Nothobranchius furzeri: one gene and its partners. The protein of the gene in region 3 purifies or fractionates together with the protein of the main gene of each other region. This does not show direct contact. Links are inferred from orthologs where the notes say so. Each region holds a gene or a part of one and is shown on either strand. Other genes may lie near its edges. The genes, in order: rnf40, tut1 and ubiquitin carboxyl-terminal hydrolase 15.

Region 1 (8,674 bases), on a different chromosome or scaffold from region 3:
AGAATTATTAGTAAAAAGTAAATGAATGAAATAACGAACTTTAGATTTGGCTGGTGTGTTTGAGAATACATTTAATATTTTTCAGTAAAGCTGTATATGACAGCAGCCTCGCCTCTGTCAGTGAATCCCTGTGGCTACGATGAAGCTCACCGCCACCAGTGTGTGAATGTGTGTGTGTGTGTGTGTGTGTGTGTGTGTGTGTGTGTGTGTGTGTGTGTGTGTGTGTGTGTGTGTGTGTGTGTGTGTGTGTGTGTATGTGTGTGAATGGATGAATGACAGAATGACAGACAGTAGCATAAAGCGCTTTGGAGTTCTCTGACTCTGAAAGGCGCTACACAAGCGCGGGTCATTTATCGTTCTTTTTTTTTTCAAAAGCACATTTATGTTTTCCAAGCAGAATCTCTGAGAAGCAGCAATAAATATCTCCTGGAGTTGAGAACCTTTGCAGAATGTGTTTGTGTTATTTATATATGCTAATTCATGTAAAATAATCGTGGAAATTGTGAAACCATGATTATTCCCCAGACTAGAGTCATACCATCAACATTTGGTAGCAACCCTGGCTCGAAAGTGCATCTTCCCGCCTTCTGACCTTTTCATGTAAAAGTTATGTAAACTAAATGACTTTAGTGAGTCACAGTTTGACATTATTGGGATGTTTAATACATGCAGATGGTCTGATCTGCCTCGAAGCTCAGATCCACATCAAAAACAACTCAAATGATCACGATGTTTCAGGGCACTCCGACGACAATGATAAATCTGACGATATAACAAAATACAAAAAAATGTTGTCGATATTGATTCATTATTTCTTTGGCTGCCATACTAGGGGCCTTTGAAAAAGATTTTATTCTCCCCAAAGTTCACTTTTCCCATTTTTATTTTCTTAATTCCACATTTCTATTCTACCCACATTTACTAACCTAAAAAATGTAATATTATAATGTGAAAGAACAATTAAGCCAGAATTCAAACCGTCACTTCCTGTTTGTGTGGGGAGACGGGTTGAGCCCACCTGCCTGACCAGGTAACAGGTACGGGGGCCTGCAGACCCCAAAAATACCTCAGAACCACCACGAATCCCTTCTTACTCATACGAGCCAACACTCCGAGATTCCAGCCATGTTTGCCTTCACAACTTTCATGACTCCATTCTGCTTGACCCACATGAGGGTAATGATGTGCTGACATCATCTAATTAGCATATCATGATATATTCTTTGTTAACCGGGCAGGGAACAAAAATACTGATATTATGAAAGGTATGATATGGCCCACCCTTAACAAGAGTTCACGAGCCTATCCCGCACACACACACACATGCACACGCACACACACACACACACACACTAAATATAGAAGCTCGGGAGCATGTTTACAGCTGGTATGAAACACACCTGCTCCATGGCTTCTGCCAGATGTTTGTTGAGCTTCTGTTCTCTGTTACGAAGTTTCTCAATGTCCCACTGAAGGTCCTCCACTGCCGTCTCCATCTCAGACACTTTAGTTTCTGCACTGGTCACTTTGTCCACCAACTCATTGTACTGCAAGAAATCAAGGCATCATAACAACAACACTTAACCGCTGTGATTAAAGCATGCTCAATCTCATAAATATCAATGGATACACAGACTTCTGCATTCACACTTACAAATACTAACATGCACACTGACACAGGAATGAAAATTGTACCTCCATGGACATTTTGTGGTGTCGTCCCTGCAGGAGGTTGGCATGGTCTCGTAGTCGGATGTGTTCGTCCAACAGGGAGCGGTTCAGCCTGATGTCAGCCTGGCTGTCGTCCTCTGCCACTAATCATAAATAACAGTTACACAAATACACAAAAACTAACATCTGTCAAAACCACACTCATTTGTCCTGTAGTCGTAAGATAAACAACTAATTTAACAGCTTATCCAGGCATAGAATAACATTTATTCAATCAATGAATGAGTTGCAACATTTACCTCCTATGTATGTGTTATTAGAGGTTTGTTAGGTACCTGCAGCCTGGACCGCCCTGCACATGTCGTCGATGCGACTGTGCAGCCTGTCAAAGACTTGCACCAAGTGGGCGATGGCTTCTTTGCTGAACAGCATGCGGTCCTGGAGGTGCAATGAAAGCTCCTCCTCGCTGCTCTGCTCCAGCATGGTCAAAAAGCCCTTAGCATTCTCACTTAAGGGAGGGGGAGGCGGTGATGTGTCTGGACATAATATTAAGTTGTTATGAACAAAGCAAATCAAGCTAGAACTCCACATTACGACCTAAATCACTGCCCTGGTGCAGCTCATTACAAAAATGTCACTTTTTTTGATGAATGCAGATTCACAAGATATTAGGTGCGAACAAAGCCGTGAACACTATCATTTACATTTTATTCACAAAGAATGTCACAATGCAGGAGCAAATTTCAACAAAAAATCGTTTTAGAAAACAAAATAAAAAGCTGCTGACCAGTTTTTGAATCCTGTGGCGGTTCCACAGTAGTTAGTAACTCCTCTGATCTAGCAGGAGGATGTGGCACCTCCTGATGGTCTTCCAGTTGATTCTCTTGTTGCTGCGGTTCTGTGAGCTCAGTCTCACCCTGGGCCTCCGGCAGAGGAGGTGGAGGCACTGTAACCAACGGTGATGCCAGGCTGATGGTATCCGTGGGTGTAGCATCGGGGAGGGCTGAAGGTGGCGCAGGAGCAGATGCTGCTGTTGATTCTGGCTCAATATATTTGCGCAGAATATTTACATTTTCTTCCAGCTGTAAGTAAAAACAGAACAAACAAAGTTTGAATATTTTGAATGGTTACTGTTTTAGAAGCATAACACACATCAATTTCAATTAAATTAAATTCTAAAATACTTTATTAATGCCAGAGGGAAATTGATTGCTGTAGTAGCTCAGAATAATAATAATAATCAAGTCATCAAAGAGTTATTGTATATTACAATGGCTGTTGGCAGGAAGGATCTCCAGTAGCGGTCAGTGTTGCAGCGAAACTGAAGAAGCCTCTGACTGAAGACACTCTTCCGTTGTCGGACAGTCTTGTGAAGAGAATGCTCAGGGTTGTCCATAATTTTCTTGATTCTCTGGAGAATCCTTCTTTGCATTATCTCCTCCAGCGGTTCCACAGTCGTCCCCAGAACAGAACCAGCCTTTTTTATTAGGCTGTTGAGCCTTTTCAGGTCCCTGCTTCTGATGCTACTACCCCAACAGACGATGGATGAAGAGATTACACTCTCAACAACAGACTAGTAGAAGATCTGCAGCATCTTGCTACAGACATTGAAGGACCTAAGCGTCCTCAAGAAGTACAGTCTGCTGTGTCCCTTCTTGTAAACGGCTTCACTGTTCTTTCTTCAGTCCAGTCTGTTGTCCAGGTGAACTCCAAGGTATTTGTATTCCTCAACCACCTCCACATCTACTGCCAAGAGTTCAACATCTGGGCTGCAGAGACGACATTTCACCGAAACATGACCTGGATGGCACCATCCGTTGTTGACAAGCACTGCCACTCCACCTCCTTTTCTTTTCCCGCTCCTGCTCAGATCTCTGTCTGCCCGTACAGTCAGGAATCCTGGCAGAGAGACGCTGGAATCGGGGATATGGTCCTGCAGCCACGTCTCACTGAAACACATAACACTACACTGCCAAAACTCTGGCTGAGTCCTTCAAAGGGCTTGGAGTTCATCCATTTTGTTGGCCAGTGATCTCACATTGCCCATTATGATAAATGGAAGAGATGGTTTGAATTTCCTCTTTCTCTGTCTCCGTTTTGCTCCCGCTCTGCATCCATACTTCTTGCGTTATAGCTCATTTGGGATTTGTGGCTTCAGTTGAGGTATTATTTCAGCCTTTCCAATGTTAATCAGCTGCTACCGATTGTAAACCAGTGTGTTGCCATGGTTACGCATCATAACAAATGTTCAAAAAGTGAAAAAAGTGAAAAATAGCAGTAAAAATCCTCCAAGCTTCACAGCACCAGAAACAGAAAAGTAAAATGTCCAAAAAATACAGTTTTTCTTGAGAAACTAGAAGAAAAAATGTCCACGAAAAGGCAAAACTTACAAATAGTCAACAGAGCTACTCCAACATGCAGCCACCCAGAGCAGCGCAGTTCCAGAGTTCACAACACTTAACATTATATAATAATACATAACAGGTCTCAAACAAGTGTATAATGTAACACAGCTTAAACACAGTATATTAAACATGCATTACTATTATTTTCAACTCCAACATCAACTTTGGGAACCACAGCTTTAAAATACACAAATAATGTGATTCTTCTACAAAGTGCAACAGAGCAATCTAGTAGATTAATAAAGTGATTAATGTCTTTATACTTCATCATTTTCTAAACTCACAATGCACAATATCCTGCCATGATCAGGTATGAGGACTGGACAGATAAGGAGTGGAAAAAAACAGTAAAAGTCTAAAGAAAATTTTAGAAAAGCTGCACACAAAAGAAAACCTGGCTGATTGGATAGAAAGCATAAAGAAGTAAGGGATTATTTAAAGCTTTTTTCCCAGCCATATCCAACGATTAATGTACCTGAGTCCAGTAGCGATTGACGATGAGGAGGGTGGTGTCATCAGTGGCTTGTCTCTTCTCCAGCTTTTCGATTTTCTCTCGTAACTCATCTTCCATGGCCTGTCTCTGCTCCAGGCGCTCACATAGCTTCTTGTTCTTGAACTGGAGCACCTTCATGTCCATTTCTTCCTGTAGTTCATCAACAAAAACACCCAAAATATAAGACACTTTACGTGTTAAAGTACACCACAGTAATAAACACACTTCAAAATATTTTAACTAGTAAATCTGCAGGGACTCACCGTTGAAGAGACTCCAGCGATTCGTATTGGTTCGATCAGTGTGGTGGTGGTCTTCTCCTCCTTCTTGGTCTTCTTCTCAGGTGGACCAGGGGGACTATCCCCTCCAGAAGGACGTTTTCCTCCCCCAGCACCTGACATCTTTCCTTAGCCTTCATAAAAAGTTCAAACAACGTTAATTTTTGGAGGCAGCATGAAGAGATTACGGAATTAAACAAATTATAAATACAGTTAGAACCCGTGTGAACGTTACTTTCGCAGGGCAGGTACAACATTTACAGCTACGTATTAGTAGAAGTCAGGAGTGTATAATGCCTCCTTGTAATTATTAGCCATCTTTTAAAAGAAATACAGCACATTACATTTTCTTGTTAAAATTAACTATTTTGCTAATGCTAACTCTCGGTTAGCAGGACAGCGATCTTTGTCCAACACAGCAAATAACGGTGGAGTATTGTTTTATTTACTAACTATCATTAAATGAAGAATCATTTCTACGTAAAATCATTTACAGAAATGCAACAAATGACAAAAGTTGAACGTTACGCACCTTCGCAAGGAACGACCGAAAATATAATTCAGAACATAATGCAACAGGAAATGACGACAACGCTTCTTCTTCTACGCTTAATTTGCAGAGCTTCTTTTGCCACCTAGTGTTGAAATGTAACTTTGTGAGGTTTTGAACAAATTCACCGATTTAAAAAAAAAGAATAACATTTAAAAATTACATTAAAATTATTGCTACGCATGGTTTCAAAAATATCTCACGGTTGAGTGATTCATTGCGTCAATGTCTAAAAACTAAGAAATATCTTGATCCCGCAATCTCCTCTGCCACCACACAGGGGCAGTATTGCTACTTCAGATATGAACCGGTTTCAAACGACTTCAAAGGAATTTTACCAAACTGTAAATAACGCTCCGGTTTATGCTAGCAGATATCCGGCGTGACTTCACGATAAACAGCTCGAGTTATTTAATGGCTTCGCTACACTAACTCGGGATCCGTCTCCTTCCCCTTCTCGCTGTTAGGTGAGTAGCTTCCTGTTCGGCCAGTCAGTGAGCCCTCTGCTACACAAGGCCAGACCAAAGACGAGTTCACCTTACTGATATAAAGGATAAAAGCTAATTTCTTGTGTGTTTAAACTCTGAGGTGTTGTCAAAAAGTCACAGGTATAGTCTGTGTTTGGAATCAAACCAAACGAAATGGGAACCCCTTATCAGGAGTTAGCTCAAGTAGTTCATGGTAAACAAGCTGTACTTTGACATGTGACGGAGTTTGTTGCTATAGCTTCATCATGACCAAGGACATCGTTGTCGGAGATGAATTACCGGACTGGGTGGGAGCTAAGGAATTCTACCAGAAGTATGACCCCAAGGAGGTGATCGGCAGGTAAGTCCAGTCAGGCAGCATGACACTCCATCCTCCATGCCTGGTTGGTGATAAGAACATGATGTTCTTTTGAACTGGTGTGGTGCTGTAGGGGTGTGAGCAGTGTGGTACGCAGGTGCGTGCACAGACACACAGGTCAAGAGCTGGCAGTGAAGATTATTGAGATCACAGCGGAGAAGATGACAGCCCAGCAGCTGCAGGAGGTGAAGACCTCCACCCTGAAGGAGATCCAAGTCCTCAACATGGTGAAGGGACACCCCTCCATCAGTATGTTGCCATTCTGCGCTCCAGGAATATTTGTCTTTTTCTGTATACCAAGACCTAATGCTGGTTTGTGTTTGTCTGATTCCATGTAGTCACCCTCATTGATTCCTACGAGTCCACCACATTCATATTCCTAGTGTTTGACCTGTGAGTATGGAGAAAAGGAGCCAAAATACAATAATGTTTACTTAAGGAAAACACGAAACAATGAAGCACCAACGGGTCTGTTTTTGTCCCCAGCATGAGGCGAGGAGAGCTGTTTGACTACCTCACTGAAAAAGTTACCTTGAGTGAAAAGGAGACCAGGTGAGCTCTAAAATCGACACACTCTCCATCAGTTTCCAATAAACGTTAAAACGCGTTTTGAAATCTGAAGCACAAATCATTTAAATACACACACTCACTGGCAGCTCTATTTGGTGCCTTTCTAGTAAATAAGAAGTAAGCAATTTTTATTCATACAGCACTTATCACAGACATAGAATCACAAAGTGCTTCTAGTGCTGGGTTGACCCTCCTTTGTCCTTCTGAACCACCCTTACTGGTTACAACCATACCAATCTGGGCTGTAATCAGTGGTTATTTGAGCCACTGTTGCCTGGAACCAGTCTGCCTGTTCATCAATTCATCTACCACTCACTAGATACTTTCTTTTTCTGGGACCATTTTCTGTTATTGTGCACGAAAATCACAGTAGAGCATCAGAATCTGATGGCACAAACTACAAATCCTCTTCCTCTGTCCTGATCCTCTGTTTGAACTTCAACTTGCCGTCACCACATCTAGACGACTGCTTCAATGTGATTGGCTGATTAGATACTGAACATGTGGGCATAATAAAGTGGCCAAATCGGAATCGGCTGTGGAAAATCGGATTTAACCATATAAAACGACAAACGTGACTTTTCAAACGAATCCTAAGAAAGAGATTTTCAAACTGAATAACAATGGCTTTGTTTTAAATTCAAAAAGTTCATCTATATCAGTGTTTTTTTTTCAGAGACAACAGCGCTGTAAAGCCCTACAATTTGAAGTAGCTTGGGAATTCACACACCATAACATGTAGCACAGAGCATAGTTGTCGCCTCAAGAGAGAGAAAATGTCTGTGATTTGGCTGGATTTTTAAACGAACAGCAAGGGGAGTGTAATAGACACATGCAATGTGTGCAAACTGGGCATTTAACGAGGTGACAAAGGTAGTGCTGCACCACCTTAAAAAACTGATCCTGCTCTGTTCGCTGCAACAATTCGGATAAGCCAGCTGATACGAATAAAAGATGTGTAGAAAAAAGAAATGGTCTACGGACAGCAACAATGCCAACATGGCAGAATATTTTTTACACTGGATGAGCGTCTGTGGTTGTGAACGTCAGGTTCGAAAGGCTCCTTCAGTCGCGGTACGATCTGCGTTCTCTCACAGACGCAGCAGCTCTACAGGTGTTTTGTAGAAAAACGTTACTCTGCTGCTGACCGTCATGAGCCGTGCCATCCCTGTCCCTAAAAACAGCTGCACACAGAGTAATTGACTGAAAATATAAGCGACAAGGCTACTTTTACAAGTATTCTCAATATTAACACATTTCTTATTCATTTAAATGTTAAATGACAATTTATTTTTACATTTATAATCTGTTTTTTTTTCATGTTTTATGAAGCTTTATTGAACGCAATCAACATCCAAAGTATCGATCATCTCCTTTATCAACATAAATCCAACAACACAAAGATGCTGCTGTAAACAAGACAAAATCAAAAAGCATTCAGCAGGCTATAAAAGTAAAGATTTGCACTAGCAACAGAAATGATGCTGATGCTAAAAAAAACTAAATATATATATAAATTAAGTACCTCATATCATTTTATTCTTTATAGATTGTTTTATTTTATTTGTTGTTTTTATTTTGTTTTTATTTTTTAACAATTTTTTTTATTGATTTTCTTCATTTGGGTACCAACACATATAATGCAAATATCTCCACTCAAAACATAAAAAAAAGACAAGAGACAATTATGTGGCATAAATATACAAATAAACACAAACATGAAAACATTGTGCCCAATACCAATTTTCATTTCCCTTCTGTTAGCAAACCCGAATTCATGGTATATTTGAAGTAGAACAAAAATAAAGAAGGGAGTGAAATAAAGTAATAAAAAAGAAAAGAAAAAAGACAAATACCCCCT
Region 2 (7,590 bases), on a different chromosome or scaffold from region 3:
TGAGACATCAATAAAAGTTTCTTTATTTTCCCTTTTCCTTGGTGTGGACTGAGATTCAGTTCTAAATAGTATGAAACATAACTTTAAGATAGCTTTAGCCTTAGTCTTTAAGAAAACCATACACAGTTTGTAAAGTGAAGTAAACGACACAAATCTGCAACACTTGTGCTAAAAGTGGCATCTTTCCTTGGTATGAAAAGGACAAGAGAATGATGCTCATTATGTTCCAAAAGAGAAAATAGACCCAAATATTGAAAACAAATCTGCGGAGCTGAACAAAAACTAAGTGAGGCTTCTTCTTATTCATTTTCTAAATGTCACCATCTTGAGCTGTAAAATGAGACACTGCTAAGGCCTGCTGAATTGGTTAGGGATTGGTCTCGTGGTTTGTTAAGTCCCAGCAGTACACGACTAAAGAAACTACGAACTTAACATTTCTGAAGGATGACAGAATGGCATCAGTCTCCAGAAAAATCCATTTAAAGATCAAGTCACCCCCTACCAGAGTATTACTCCACTCCCACTTCCTGTTTGAAAAATGCAACAAATGCTGTTGCCTAGCAGACCGAGAGGGTGCAGCCGCTAACAAATACACACACACATAGGCTCACAACAACATTGTGACATCATATGGTACCAGCTAACATTCTAGGAAACCTCTTAGCCAAGAGCGATGGCAGATTTAAATTCAAGTGTAGAGCAGAGTTTTTACCTGACAACGGCACAACACTGACAATTTAAGGCAGAAAATTAAAAATTTAACAAGTGCAAAACTATTGACTACATGTGTCTGCAGCACGATTAGACACACATTTATTTAGTTTCTCATTTAAAAAAGGTTTATTTTTGGGTGACTTGCTCTTTAAATCCAGAAACAGATCCATTTGTTTAGTGTAAGATAAATCTGAACATCTGTAACGGTGGCTGGTAAAACGTTCAGACTGTTCTTTACATTTTTACTTACGGAGATCTCAACTTGTGTGTTTAAAATTTAATCTGCAAGAAATAGTTCTTTAGAATAAACAAAAACTTGATTAAACACAGTGAATCAGGATGTAAAGTGGTAGAAATCCCTCTGATTTACTAAATACTTTGATGTTGTTGCCGACCAGTGCCGAGTGTCGATCAGCATGTGAAGGGGCGAAAGCATCAGACCCTGACGACTGTACGAGACACCAGGAAGAACCAGGAGGAGCACAGTGTGTTTGTCAGTGGCATCAAGCCTGAAATCTCTCAGACGGACATCTCCGAATACTTCCAGCAGTTTGGGGCCGTCACAGATGTTATCATGGACAAAGGCAAGGTGGGACGGACTTCCTATTAGATGAAGCCTTCTCATGAAAGAGGCCGGGTGTTATAATCATGGGCAGAGTGACTGATGGTGTGTGTGTTTGTGCTCACAGGGTGTTTTTGCCATCGTGCAGTTCAGTGAAACGGAGAGCATCCAGGCAGCTTTGTCCTGTGTAGAGCACCGCATGAAGGGGCTGAAGCTGCGGGTCAAGCCTCGAGAAAAGAAGGAATTTAAGTTAATTCCCAAGAAGAAGAACAACCCCCAGAACCTCCAGCAGGTCCTAGATCGTCTCAGACCCGACTTGTGTCAGCTGGGATCTGTGAGCATCCGTACTAGAACTGATTTGACATAATCAGAAATGAACCGTGCAGCTGGGCAACATATTTATTACAGATTATTTAAAGAAAATACAGCATGATAATCCTCATGGTTCATGTGTCGTACAGCTCAGTAAATCAAGTGTTTCTATTTTTCTTTTTGAGATGATTGAACTAAAACAGTTTTTCTCGCTCCTTCAGGTGGATGCCCAGATGAAGTTCATAGTTGAGCGATTTCAGCTGGGAGAAAATGAAAAGAAGACTCGAGACTTGCTGGTTCAGCTCCTTCAAGAGGTTTTTGTTGAATTCTTTCCAGGTGAGGGCTTTAAAACTTGTAAACATTCAGATTCTGTGGCTTAATGATAAAAAAAATCAGCGTTTTTCTGTTTTTAACATTACGTGGGTCACAGACAGCCAGATTCTGCCCTTTGGTTCATCTGTGAACACTTTTGGCGTCCACTCGTGTGACTTGGACCTGTTCCTGGACCTAGAAAACACGAAGGTGTTCCAAGCTCGGGCCAAGTCCAGCACAGAGCAGGTCTGACTGTTTATCTAGGTGCAAATCTTTGTAGTTCACACATTCGGAGCTAAAACGTCACATTTTTCTAACAAATTCCCTCCCTGCGCCCGGTCGTCAGGCGGGTGAAGGAGTGTCAGACGATGCCCACTCTGAGGACTCCATCCTGTCTGACATCGATCTGTCCACAGCCTCTCCAGCTGAAGTTTTAGACTTGGTTGCCACCATCCTCAAGCGCTGCGTCCCCAGCGTGCACAAGGTCCACGTAGTCAGCACCGCTCGCCTCCCTGTGGTCAAGTTCCATCACCATGAGCTCAACCTGCAGGGAGACATCACGCTCAACAACAGGTCTCTGAGGACGGTTTTACATCTCTGAGATGTGAATTAAATGAAAACATGCAGGAGTTATTGTTTTCCTGTTTTGTTTGTTAGACTTGGCGTGAGGAACACGCGTTTCCTCCAGCTGTGTTCAGGGGTGGAGGAGAGGCTGAGGCCCCTGGTCTACACCATCCGCTACTGGGCCAAGCAGAAGCAGTTAGCTGGTAGGATGCAGTCCTGTTCATGCTTTCACCAGCAGATGTCAGCAGAGCTACACTGAGTCTGATCCTCATTTGATCGTTGTTGTTGAATCCTTTTGTGTGCAGGCATTGATATTAAATGAAATCTTATTAAAGGGATTCTGCTGTGAAAAGCAATTACCTTTTATTCCAGGTCCGTGTCTTCCTTTGAACTCCCCCCTCGGTGCTGCAAACACACCTTTCATTAAAGAGTGTGTGATGACATCTCAAAGTGTCATTTTAAGATGAAATTGTGGACTTGGAGCGATTGCTTTGATCATTGAGGCCAATTTCCACAAATACAAATAATCAAAGCAAATTATTGCGTCTTAGAAACAAACTTTTTAACTTCAAAACACATTTAACACAATATATGAAAGAATTTGAGTTTCTGGGAGACTAGTTGAACTCAGGAATCACGGTTGGTTATGTAGAAGGTAAAGCCAGTCTCCATCGGTATAACACAGCAGCACCTTTTACAGAATCTCCTCATAAAGTTACACATTTTAAATGAGAGCTCTGGGTTAATCAAAATGTTTTTGCTATTTCGATTTCAGCTCCAGACAATCACAAAAAAAACTTTCAGCTAAGTTTTATTATAATCTGATTTGGATCTCATATTTGGCTTTGGCTTCATGCTTGTGAAGGACACACCTCCACCCCGTCTGACAGCTAGACCCCTGCTGGGGTGGAGCTTTAACAGTCAGCACGAGGAAACACAACTGGCATTGATATATTTTTAATTATGACTCCTTCGTGTTGCCAACCTAGTGACTTTGTTGTTTTATTTTGCAAATTATTCAATCTTTCTTGTGACTCGTTCACACCAGGTTCACACATCCCCTCCCACCCCCCCACCCCCCCACACACACACACCAGAGCACCAGCATCTGTCCATCATCCAGCTGCAGCCAGGATGAAAACGCATTCCCTCTGTTGTGCATTGCCCAGCGATATGCTTCCATACGGGTCTGTGTGCAAGCATCGCCGTTCCTGAGAAAAAACACATTCTTGTGTGTTTTTGGACCTCCAGGCTTCTGTAGCAGCTCTCCTGCTTTAATGACAGTGCCACCTGGTTTCTTCGTGAACTAATTTAGTACTGAACGTTAGTATTTTGAGGCTGCGCAGTGGCGCAGTGGTTAGAGCTGTTGCCTTGCAGCGAGAAGGTCCTGGGTTCACTTCCCAGCCTGGGATCTTTCTGCATGGAGTTTGCAGGTTCTCCCTGTGCATGCGTGGGTTCTCTCTGGGTACTCCGGCTTCCTCCCACAGTCCAAAAACATGACTGTTAGGTTAATTGGTCTGTCTAAATTGTCCTTAGGTGTGAGTGTGTGTGTGTGCATGATTGTTTGTCCTGTGTGTCTGTGTTGCCCTGCGATGGACTGGCTCTCTGTCCGGTCACACACAGCAGCCTCATTATAACATGACATAGCACAGACATTTCCTGGTTTATCATCCTGCAGGTAATCCCAGTGGCTCGGGTCCTCTCCTCAACAACTACGCCCTGACACTGCTGGTCTTTTTCTACCTGCAGAACTGTGATCCTCCTGTCCTCCCCACCGTGGACCAGCTCAGAGATATGTCCTGTAAGTCCCACCTGTCCGCTCCTACATCAGCAGGTGTTGTTTGCACGTGCAGACACGTGAGGTGGAAACTGCACGGGTGTGTTTAAAATTATTCATGCTGAAATTATACTTTAGGGTTTGAGTTAGTCTTATTTGAGCTATCAAGGGAAAAAAAATGTTTTTATTTGGGGGGGGGGGGGGGGGGGCGCGCGACTAAATCATCTTTAGAACTAAGATTTTTCCTCAGATTAAGATGAAAAAATGTACAGAAAACTAAAATGTTGTATAATTTATTTTGGTTATGTCTGTTTAATTTTCCACATGGAGTTTTCTCTTCTGTGACGTGATTAATCAGGTCGATGTGACCACCTGCAGCTACCGTTCGCCTCCAGCTGTTTTATTCTCCCTATGTAGCGATGGAGTAGTAATCATACATTTATGTCCTGAATAGATTTTAGACTGAATTTTGTCTCGACACCCAGACGGTTTAACCCGAGTTAAACACAGCAGCACAGGTAACTATCTGGACTTGTTTGTTAAAAACTGGATTATTCTTGTTTATTCTGTGTTCTTTGGCATGCCCAGTCTCTAATCTGTGCTAGTGATGAGTGTGATGAGAGTTATCACTGGGGCGAGGCCATATCTCTTGATGTTTTTATGATGCTCTGTATGTCTACATCGTTCACACACGATCCAGGATGCTGCAGCTCATCCTTTACCCGTCGGTCAACGACAGGAGCACATGCCACCAGCCGTAGCTTCTCTCCACTGGCCTTCTGTCAGTTTAGGACTGATTTAGAGGTTTTACTGCTTAGTTTTCATGTTTTAACAAACCAGTTTCTCTTCAATGGCTTTCTGTTGTCCTTAGAGCCGGGAAAGTAACTTTAACTGTGTGTTTTTTTATGATCCTCTGCAGGTGAGGAGGAGGAGTGTGTGATTGAAGGCTGGAACTGCACCTTCCCAAGTCAGCCGATCGCTGTGCCGCCCTGTAAAAACACACAAGACCTCTGTAAGTCATTTAAAAACAGAAACATGCTTCCTGCTGACATTTCCAAGCATCACTAAACCTCCATGTTTTCTCTCTTCAGGTTCGCTGCTCGCTGGCTTCTTCTCCTTCTACGCCCAGTTTGATTTTGCCGGTAGCGTCATCTCTTTGAGGGAGGGACGTGCTCTTCCGATCACAAAATTCCTCAGCCAGAATAAACAGGATGAGACGATGCAAGAAGAACAACCCACCAAGTCCCATCTGCCTGGTCCCAAACTGGGCCCCCTGAATCTCCTGGATCCCTTCGAGCTTTCCCACAACGTGGCGGGAAACCTGAACGAACGCTCTCACCGCAGCTTCCTGAAGGAGTGCCAGGAGGCTGACAAGTACTGCCGCAGCCTACAGTACCAGCACAAGTCCACTAAAGGGAAGTCCTGGGGACTTGTGCGCTTGTTGACCCCACACATGGAGGTGCAGCAGACAAAACCAGAGCAGCTGGCCATCAGCATCCCCTTCAAGGCCACTTCGCTGCCTGAGAAGCTTCAGGATGAGCTGCAGGTGGCAGGAGATGGTTTCAGGCTGCTGTGGTTCCAGAAGGTTTGTTGTGCTGTGGAGGTCGTACTAAAAACTGTCCTCAAGTGCCTCCTCCATGCTCCTGCAGATGCTGTGTTTAGAGAAGATCCAGCTGCGGCTGAAGGAACAGAAACCGCGTCGGCTTCCTTTAACTCGTTAAACGACAGCACAGAGAGTGCTGATTCTCAGGGCGAGGTGACCGTTGGTGCAAAGAGGCCTTTGTCCTCTGGCAGCGATTGCTCAGTGTCACCTCAGGGCAAAAAGCCAAGACTGGCCAAAAGGGGGCATCACGAAGTCCCTCCATGGACGTGCGCGCAGAAGCATATGGTGTGGGCTGGCAGGAGGAGAGTGAGACGAGAGCTCATGAAGGACGCAGAGTGTAAACCAGAGGGGAGCTGCGTGGACCTGGAGTCCCAGGTCTCAGCTTACATCGTGGAAAAAGAGCCGGGGCTCAAGCAGCCCCTGGAGTTCAAAGTTCAGCCCCAGATGGTTGGTGGAACCGAGAACACAAAGGCACTGCTCAAGATGGAGCCAAGCAGCGACGGGGCGGGAGTTTTCCAGGACTTCTTTCATTTCCTGGAAGTTTTCCTACCAAAGATGGTGGAGACAGTGTTGGAGAAAGGAGGAGGCGGGTCCTAAAGGACCTGATGAATGTTGGAAAACATGAATCCCTGACAGAGGAGGGAGAAGAGATTTACTTCTGTTTTCACATATTTTTTGTACTTGTTCAGTAGTGATTAGTTTCATGCCTGAATAAGGCTCCAGATTTAGCGTCTGTTTTAGTTTCTTTATTAAAAAATAAATAAAATCCAACTTTTATGCTTGAAATTGATAAAAGCGTCCTTTTTCTGTTCTGCTGAGTCAGGACCACACCCACATTTTACTCTCAACCAATAACTTAAATCACATCATTTAAGTCCAACAACTAAGCAAAACATTAGGTTGTCAGTTTAATGTGGCATGCTTCTGGGCGCGCCTGAAAGCTTTAATTCAGTCAGATGTTAGCGGCTGCAGCTAAGACTGATGAGCGTAATTACTCAGCTGGGCAGGCTGCTTTATTACAGCAGGACAAGCTGGAGCTGAGTGATGCAAAGAGCTCCCGTCTGCTGATTAACACCATTCATCTCACTCCTTAAAGGGAAGCGGCCAGCAGGTACGGAGAAGACGGATGATGGAGCCATCTATGAGGCGTCCCGCGTGCAGATCTGACACTGACTCACTTTATTAATCTGGCGTTTGTTGTGTAATTACATAGAAAATCAGTGTAAGATCCAAGAACTTAATGCAAAAACATGTTCTGGGAATTATTGAAAAAAATGTAAAAATTTACTTTTGCCAAATTTAACACTGAGATGATGTTTTAGATACTTGAAACCCTTTTTCTTTTGTGTGAGCCCTGTTCGTGGTACCCAAGGACAGGATATGAAGCTGTAGTTCTGGGTAGGAGGGTGTCCGCTTTGGGAACTCGGATTTTCTCTGCTTTTATGCAAATGATGTGATTCTGTTGGCGTTCGTGTTCAGCGAACCAGAGTCTGCACCTCTGAGTCAGACTAGGTCATGTTTCTCTAGAGCACGGTGAAACAATTCCTTTGGGTGTCAAAGAGTTGGACTAGACAAAATCTACCAGATATCTATCAGTCAGAAAAACAATGACGTTAACGTAAAGTTAATCTACATCTGTAGACACTAAGATGCAAGGAGGAGCCCATTTATCCACTCTAGTTTTCAGAGCATTTAACGAGGTCCTACACTCATATTTTTAAAAGATCGGCAGTGGTCTCTAATGCC
Region 3 (8,574 bases):
CCAGTTTTGTTTAGCCCCTAACAAGCCAACAATTTAGAAGCATCTTCCATAGTAGCATGTAAACTTTCCTCCATTTATAATCTCATACAGATTTAGAGCTGCTGGTTTCCTTCAGTTTTGTCTCGACTGAGCAACACTATCACCTTGAAGGGTCGTGGGGTGACGTAGCTGAATTTCCCTGACCACAGCTGCTTGATGAGCTCAGCGTAGGCTCTGGCGATCTCCCCCTTCATGCCCAGGGGGTTGTCCTCGTTCAGCTCATCCTTGTACTTGTCTTTGAGGAAGTAGTCCGTCAGCGGAGGGATATTGCTTAAACACTGAGGAGCAAAGATGGGAAAGAGTTGGATCAGCCCAAAACGCAGCTGGACACATCAGTGCCCCTCACACGGTGAGCCACATGTTGACGACAGGTTTGGTACCTGCACGGCAGAGTTCATGAAGCAGGTGTTGCCCAGGTTGGACAGCCCACAGAGACCCAAGCGCTCACTCGGTCTGCTCTGGTCTGGGTAGTCGTAGCTGTTGCAGTAGGTCGGTAAACTATAGCTGGAGTTCTTCACACTGAAAAACGACAGATACATCAGAGGGCTGAGCACACACACAGGAAACTGATACAGGCTTTGTTATCAAGTCCAATTATATTTTATGAGGTCAAAGGTTTTAACAAATGAATAGCTCCAGTCCTAGCAGGTCAATTCTAAGGAGCCACCAGCCCTAAAAACACTTTATAGTAAAGGTCAACAGTCGCTGCAGCAACCAGCGGACCTCTGGGAGGCTGACAGCGCAGCATTGGTCGTCTCCGGCTCCCACCGGTCAAAGGAAGCAGCTGTGATGGAGGTGGACACAGGGGCCCCACAGCTCAGCACACGGTGGTCCACCCTCCTGTTGTCCAGCTCCAGCTCCACCGCCTCAGACCTCAGGCACCACCAGCAACACAGGAGCATGACATCTCAGCCCCACCCCAGCTCACACCGGCCCACATGTCCGCACAGAGCCGAGCGACCAGCAGCCTCGACGCGGTTCCGCTCTGCTCCACTCCGAAAGAAGGACAAGCCACGTTTTCAGAGCGTGAGGAGGAAAAAGTGCAGCTTCAGTCTTTACGGTTCAGCCCTCATGTTCACTCGGACCCACTCCAGCACCAGTTTCAATTCAGTCCAGATGAAGGATTTGCTTTCCAAGCCCAAAAATAATCATAATTACACTCGTCTCCCGACCCCCTCTCTAGTTTTGTCCTCTGCATCTTTCTTCCCTCTGTCCTCTCCTTCCTCTCTTCCTGTTCCCTGCTGCTCTACGGGTCCCTGCAGATATTTATAGCAAGGGTGAGGATGCTCGCGACTGCTACAGAAGCTAGAGGTGCTCACAGGGAGAGGGGGAGGAGAATAGGAAGGTGTGTGTGTGTGTGGGGGGGGGGGGGGGGGGGGCACTGACAGAAGAGAAATGAGGTGGGGATGGAGGGAGCAGCTGATTCATTGCATTAAGCTGAGGCTGCAGTATTCACAGGTCTGTCTCTTCTCTCTACCCTTCCTCTGAAACACATCACAAAACATCTGTCACCTTTTCTTCTTCGTGTGTGTGTTCTCCCCTCAAAACACCAACTCTCTTATTTCTCCAGCTTGGCAGTAAAACTGCACCCAGCTCTAGATGAGAGATGCTGTAAATGAATAAATGAATATCCCCATCGGTGCACGTGAGCAGCAGAGGCAGGCGATGAGAAAGACAGATGGGATGGACTCTTGAAGGTCATGCAGACTGCAGAAGGTGTGTGTGGCTGTGAGGCAAAGGTGTTAACAGGACACCGCCCGCTGTCACAGACCTCCACATCAGAAAGATAACAAACATGGGAATGCCTCGTATGAAAAGCACGGCCACCATGCATAATTAAGAGGCAACGACAGCACTGACTGTGGGGTGAATCAGGGATAGAAGAGCTGCTGAGAGTGAAGATCCAATTTCTCCAAGTCACCCTCTTTTCTCTCAAGCCGCCATGCAGAAAAAAAAACCACCGCTACATCAATACACAATGCAGAGTCGTTACAACATGGCTATAAATCGTAATCTAAGTACAGAGGAGCAGAAAAGGGCTGAGCCAACTCCTACGCTTTCCCTTCGTGTCAATACTGATTTTTTTATTCAACGGCTTTTATTTCTGCGTTCCAGCCATATGTAGAGTGAAACAAACATGAAACAAACATGTGGCCCTAAACACAGTAAAATCACACAGGAGGGCAACAGCACTCCACCTGCTGATTAAACGTCACCTCTCAAGTCAACAAAGTCCAAAAAAATTAAAAAAGGATCAGAGAAAAATCAGAAGGGAGTAAAATCCTCGGACGTGTGCGTTCAGATGAGCCTAAGTCACGCCCATCTACATGGGGGTCAAAGAGCTGATAAAAGCCATTTTCTGACCCTGTTTGATATGTCCCATGGATTTAACATTTGATGTGAATTTTAAAGGCCATTTAGATGCCAAGACAGCACTTGTTTTTGAAAGGTGGCAAAAGTCATTTTAGGTTTTGTGTGAAAAATACGTAGGAGGCTACAACTGCTCGACTCACCAATTTAACGTCATTAAATGAGACAAGGAGGAGAAGAAACTTTGCTGTGAGTTTTGCGAGCTTTGCAACCTTCTTCCAGGAAGAATGAAGCAGCATTAAACGTGGGACGAAAAACAACACTATAAATCTTGTCATGTGGAAAGCAGCAGCTACGCTGGCGGAAACGAGGCGCGGAGACTCATGCGATGTGCACACATCTGACTTGTAGTCATTTTAATTACGAATTTTTGCAAGCTAATAAATCTCTAATTACATGACAAACATAGTCGAAACACACATTTATTTAGCATTTAAATTGAAGTAAAACATGTGTGTTTCTGGGAATAAAGCACAGTAGAGCAGAAAATAACCTTTATAACCCCATTCTGGGGACCCGTGAGCCGGGGGGTCAGGGGATTTAAACTCCCTTTAAGACAATATTCTGGTATACTTTTAAACCGTGTTTGTTTAAAATCTACCCAAGTCTGTGTCAAGCCTGACCGAGGCTTGTAGTTGCACTACTAACAAAACTAAAATATGTTAAACAGTATGATGTTACAGGAAGCTGTATCAAAGGGTTTTTCAGTTCCAAAAGCGTGGTAAGGTAAGTGAATCTGAGCCCACCTTTATGGTAATGATAACAACACTAAATTAGGTTACTGCTTCTTCCCCTACTGGACAAACACAGAATTACAACTGCTGTTAACAAGCCTGCTGTAGCCAACGCTAACATGAGCCATCTTTTAGTAAATAAGCCACAAAGTAAAACAATCCACATTGTTGGACAAAAAATATCATTACTTACAAGTCCAGTAGCAACTAAGCCAAGTCACCATCAATCCATGATGCAAACAAACAGCTAAATTCTTCTTTTTCTTCTTCTTGAGCTTTATACTTGACCTTTCTCAGTGACCTAGTGGTAGAGTGTCCACCCTGAGACTGGGAGATCAGGGGTTCGACTCCTGGTCGGGTCGTACCAAAGACTTTGAAAAAATGGACCCAATGCCTCCCTGCTTGACACTCAGCATTAAGGGGTTGGATTGGGTGGTTAAACCACCAAATGGTTCCCGAGCGCGGCTGTGTCTGCAGCTCACCGCTCCCCCAGGGGATGGGTCAAATGCGGAGAATAAATTTCGCACACACACCTGTGTGTGTGACAACTAATGGGACTTTAACTTTACTGACGGTCAGCGAGCTGAAAACGCTAACTGCTAGCCCTCATATTAGCAACCAGCAAGGTAAATGGCTACTGTCATGAAGCAGGTTGAGAGCTCCCACTAGTGTTTCTACTGAATCACAAAACAGTTTAGTGCAGTTACTGCTCAGCAGAGGGTAACGGCATGCTGTCCCATGGGGAGTAGCTCAAGATTCTGCCTCAAGAACCAGAGAAACCAGTTTGAGAGCAATAGCTCAAAGTGTTAAAACTCTCTAGTGTTGCTCTAAGGTAGCTCAGGCTTTGAGGAAAAACTCGCCTCCTTTCTAGATCCCAGAAACTGGGTTCAAAAAGTTTAAGTTAAAATGCTTAGGAAGCTTGTTGTTTAATGGCTGTTATTGTAGGTTTGTTGCTGCACAATGCAAAACTTTAACCACACACATGCATAAACATTCACACTCAGACAGCAATGAAAGTCTGCACTTGCAGTTTTATCCCAGAGCGTGGATTCAGACTACCCACTCATCACAAAAAAAAGCTGCATTTCCAATAGGCTGTAGTTTAAATTGTTCAAATGCAAACATAAAAGCAAGGCCTCATGGGTCAATTAATCCTAAAATGATTCATGCTGCTCTTCCTGACCTGCACTAACAGCCCATCAGGTTTCAGCTCAGGTGTGACCTTTAAACAAGAGCTCAGGAGAGCTGCCGGAGCATTTTAAGAAAATAATGATATAAGATTATTCCAAACTAAGCCTGTCCCCCAGTTCTGCTATCAGCTCAGTCAGCTAAAAAAAAGCACGTCAGGATCACAGCCAGAAAGTCACCTGAACAGGACAAAGTTTGATGGATTTAAACACCACTGGTGGTAAAATTGTAGAGCCATTGTAAAGTAGTCAGGGTTTTTGAACACATTCAAGCCAACTGTCCGGTTTTATCTTTGGCTCTTCAGATCCAACCCCACCCACCACCACCACACATCTGCCAAGTCTTACTTCCTGCTGTTGAAGCTGCTGTTATGATTGTTTGTGAGAGATGAAGGCGAGATCTTTGGCAAAGCAGAGAGATTGGAAGCACCAGATGACCTTCAAAAGATAAAAGGGTAGATCATGAGTTAGAGCAGAAAACAAGGAGCCGTCCCAAACAAATAAAAATAAAGGGTGTGTGAGACAGTCAATCAAATTAAACTTAGATGAATTCAAACCAAAACAGAGTGATGTGTTGCAACAAAAGTTCAAGCAAAAAGAGGCAAAGAGAGGGGACTCTGGTTGACGGTGCAGTGAAGGTCGAGTTCAATGCTTCTGAAACATGCAGTAACTCATTACTACATATTCTACATGTGGTTTTAATAGTGTGCCAAGTGCAATCGGTTCCTGTGGAGAAACTCCTCGAAGTCAACAACACGAAGAAGCAAATCCACGTGCCCTTCACTCACTTGGTTGCCATGGTGCCTCGGGGCCACGTGCCGTCTTCACTCTTCTGCTCTATTACAAGAACCTGTAGGAGACCAGAAAAAGAAAGAGGCTCCATCTGCTGCTGCTGCTTTAGAGTCCAAATGTTAAAGCACTTTAAATAATAAAATAACTAAAAAAAACTCACTAAAGTTCCCTGATGCATTAAGGGGAAATTGGTGACCTTTGTTCAAAGCTTTAGGGTGATTTTTGTAGAAGGGTTTATTTGAAGGTGCTGTGATGCGTTTCTGCGTTTAGATTATGGGCCTGACACACCGCATGGAGCAATCCACCAGTCACAACCATTCTTACTCAGATTGCTGAAGAAGATCATGAAGGGTCCTCATATGAGATATGAATGTTTTCTGAATTTCATTGGCTATTTTAGGCATCAATCAAAAATTAGCTGTGCCGCCACCACATCCCAAAGATGCTCTATCGGGTTGAGATCTGGTGACTGCGGGGGCCGTTGTAGTACAGTGAACTCATCGTCATGTTCAAGAAACCAATTTGAAATGATTGGAGTTTTATGGCACATTATCCTGCTGGAAGTAGCCATCAGAGGATGGGTGCATGGTGGTCATGAAGGGTCAGAAACAATGCTCAGGTAGCCCGTGGCATTTAAACCATGCCCAGTTGGCACTAAGGGGCCTAAAGTGTGCCAAGAAAACATCCCCCACACCATTACATCACCAGCCTGCACAGTGGTAACAAGGCATGATGGATCCATGTTCTCATTCTGTTTACGCTAAATTCAAAAAGAACCGGATTTGATGTGGAAGTTTGAAATGTCCCATCTGTGTGACTAATTCAGAGGCGAAGAAAAAATGTTGCTCATAAAATATTTTTTTTAATTGCTGATATTTCCATTGATTAAAATAGCCGAACTTTAGTCATTTATTAACAGATTATGGCTTTTTCATAAACACTTGAAAAGATCCGAGCTATCCCTCTGAGTCAGCTTTACATTACAAGGACAGGCTCCTGTTGATTCTGATGCCTTTTAAACTCAAAGTAGAGAGATGAAGAACCTCCTGCAGTAACACTCACCTGTGTACTCCAGGAAAAGCTGAAACTGGGGCTGGGCAATAAATCGAAAATGTATCGTTATCGAAATTACTGACTCTTATCGAGACAATTATTCCCATGTCAATAAATTTGATTTAAAAAATGAAAAGATGTGTGTAGGTTGGCAACTTTCATGTCCCTTTAAGAAGCTGTAGCACCTTGAGTCACAAAATGTGACTTAACGTAATACATGTGACAGCCCCATCTAGTGGACAACTTTAGTTTCTGCGCATACCTGTAGTTATGTTTCATTATCGAGGTGAAATCCTCAATATATCGTGATATTGATTTTAGGCCATATCGTCCAGCCCTTGCTGAAACCCATTCAAACTGGGGTGTTTCAACTCAGCAGAAGAACTACCAAGCCAGGCCGTTCTGAAGCCATCCAAACCAGAGAGGTTCCTACCTGTCCCTGGTAGAGGCCGGCATCCTGGATGGTGCTGTCCGGTTTGTTTAGAGGCTCAAAGGTGTTGCTCATGTATCTGTTCCACAGCCTCGTCTCCTTCTCATCTGGGATACCGAACAGCTTCCTCATCTCCTTCTCTATCGTGTCTGCAGCAACATTACAAACACAAAGTGTCATTTATGATGAACTGTCCTGTACCGACAGATCAGCATCATGGTGATTCTCTTTCAGAACAAATTCAGTTATTTTAAATTATAACTAATTCACTTTGACAGGACTGCCGTCCTGGTGCATCCTGGGCCTTGTAGTTTTACCACAAACCCTCAAACTACTCAGTTACAACACACAGATCAAGTGAATGTCACCAGAAGCAATTAACAATTAGACACACAGAACAGAACTAAAGACACCCATTTCAGTTTACCAGAAAGGTGAAAAGCAGATTTAGTTCACACGTTCCAGAATATCATCCACAAACATTCTGCTAAAGCAAAACTCCAAGCAGCAAGATTAAAACTTTAGGACTGGTGAAGCACAGTCAGGCCTTAATTATGAGAATCAGCGGAAGGAGTGAAACCCTGCTGTTAAAGAAAGAAAACGATCTTTTATATAGCGCCTCTCAAGATGAAAATCACGAGGCGCTTCACAAAAACAAATAATGTGAAACACAGTATAAAAAGATTTCAAATAATTTAAAATGTGTTTAAAACAAGAAAAAAATTGTGATAAAAATGTAAGGAAAGGGAGAGAGAAAATTAATAGGAAAGAGGGAAGTCGGTGGATCCAGGGGAAAGGCAGAATAAGAAGAAGGTGGTGATGAAGGTCACACCTAAGCCAGCTTGAACAGATGACTTTCTGCTGCTTTTTAAAGGAGACCACTGAGTCCACTGATCTCGGCTCAGATTAATCAATGTGGTTAAAACACACACACACACAGGTGGGAAGTAACAAAGTACAAATACTTCGTTACTGAACATAAGTAGTTTTTTTAGGTATCTGTACTTTACTTGATTTTTTTTTCTGACAACTTTACTTTTACTCCCTACATTTGAGCCCAAATATCTGTACTTTCTACACCTTACATTTTCAAAATGGTCTCGTTACCTCGACATTTACCTCACGTACTGCACGTATTACACGCATGTCGATGATGTCATTACGCAACTGTCGGAACACAACAGAGGGAAAATCAACGGTGCGGCGAGAAAGAGCCCGGTGTGAGCGCGGTTTGAGACCCAGAACAACACTAACTAACAACATGGATGATGGACAAAGTTGATAAAGTAACACTGGAAATGAAGAAACATCTAAAGGCTGCAATGAATGTGGTTGAGTACATTGCTACCACCACAGACCGCAGGACTGCACACAGATGAAGTTTCATTGGTGTCTCAGCACACGGGATAGAGCCTGAAACCATGGAAAGATGCTCTGCTGCTCTAGTATGAAAAACAGCTCAAAGGGCCGCACACATGTTCTGCACTTGCTGGTGCACTAAATGACATACGTACAGAACATCCATGATAAGATTGTTCGCACAACTTCTGATAATGGCTCTAATTTTATTAATCGTTCAAAACTCAGATCATAATTGGGATTAAAATTTGATTAATTGAGCAGCCCTATTACAGGATGCTTTAACTCATGAATTATGGTGGGATATATTACGAAATACAACAAAAGTAAAAAATGATCAGGTCACTCTGACTTCATGAGATTACCGTAGTTCACATTTAGATTATGAAATTCTGAATGTGCCGTATTGACCCGAATATAGGTGATAAATTATAATCTTTGATTTTGTCATTCATAGGTCTTGGCTTCATCAGAAGTCATCTGAAGGAGCAACCCGTGGTGCAGCCAGGTGGCACGACCTTTTCTTCTTCAGAGGAGGAGGACTTCTTTTTCACCATCAGGCAGGGCAACAATCAGGAAAATGCCAAGCAGCTGGAGTCCTACCTGGCCT

What was found.
Region 1: the proteins of ubiquitin carboxyl-terminal hydrolase 15 (region 3) and rnf40 purify together in Homo sapiens (affinity purification with mass spectrometry; 4 studies listed by BioGRID and IntAct, with this or other methods). This does not show direct contact. The link is inferred for Nothobranchius furzeri from reciprocal best matches to the Homo sapiens genes USP15 and RNF40.
Region 2: the proteins of ubiquitin carboxyl-terminal hydrolase 15 (region 3) and tut1 purify together in Homo sapiens (affinity purification with mass spectrometry; 4 studies listed by BioGRID and IntAct, with this or other methods). This does not show direct contact. The link is inferred for Nothobranchius furzeri from reciprocal best matches to the Homo sapiens genes USP15 and TUT1.

What each region holds. Positions count from the first base shown.
Region 1 is NC_091756.1:31,910,251-31,918,924, forward strand, and holds the start of rnf40 (E3 ubiquitin-protein ligase BRE1B), read right to left. Parts: upstream 5,469-8,674; 5' UTR 5,380-5,468; intron 4,982-5,379; 5' UTR 4,971-4,981; coding exon 4,833-4,970; intron 4,720-4,832; coding exon 4,552-4,719; intron 2,754-4,551; coding exon 2,459-2,753; intron 2,208-2,458; coding exon 2,007-2,207; intron 1,815-2,006; coding exon 1,696-1,814; intron 1,548-1,695; coding exon 1,401-1,547; intron 1-1,400. Other genes in the region: phkg2 (phosphorylase b kinase gamma catalytic chain, liver/testis isoform), read left to right, coding at 6,131-6,225, 6,317-6,492, 6,582-6,636, 6,730-6,795.
Region 2 is NC_091756.1:31,146,783-31,154,372, reverse strand, and holds the end of tut1 (speckle targeted PIP5K1A-regulated poly(A) polymerase), read left to right. Parts: intron 1-1,112; coding exon 1,113-1,303; intron 1,304-1,403; coding exon 1,404-1,610; intron 1,611-1,809; coding exon 1,810-1,924; intron 1,925-2,018; coding exon 2,019-2,146; intron 2,147-2,246; coding exon 2,247-2,473; intron 2,474-2,557; coding exon 2,558-2,667; intron 2,668-4,142; coding exon 4,143-4,265; intron 4,266-5,160; coding exon 5,161-5,253; intron 5,254-5,332; coding exon 5,333-6,441; 3' UTR 6,442-6,630; downstream 6,631-7,590. UniProt on the Homo sapiens protein: Poly(A) polymerase that creates the 3'-poly(A) tail of specific pre-mRNAs. Localizes to nuclear speckles together with PIP5K1A and mediates polyadenylation of a select set of mRNAs, such as HMOX1.
Region 3 is NC_091741.1:53,839,715-53,848,288, reverse strand, and holds part of ubiquitin carboxyl-terminal hydrolase 15, read right to left. Parts: intron 6,755-8,574; coding exon 6,609-6,754; intron 5,181-6,608; coding exon 5,119-5,180; intron 4,769-5,118; coding exon 4,679-4,768; intron 1,169-4,678; exon of another isoform or gene 942-1,168; coding exon of another isoform or gene 763-941; intron 559-762; coding exon 420-558; intron 318-419; coding exon 144-317; intron 1-143. UniProt on the Homo sapiens protein: Hydrolase that removes conjugated ubiquitin from target proteins and regulates various pathways such as the TGF-beta receptor signaling, NF-kappa-B and RNF41/NRDP1-PRKN pathways.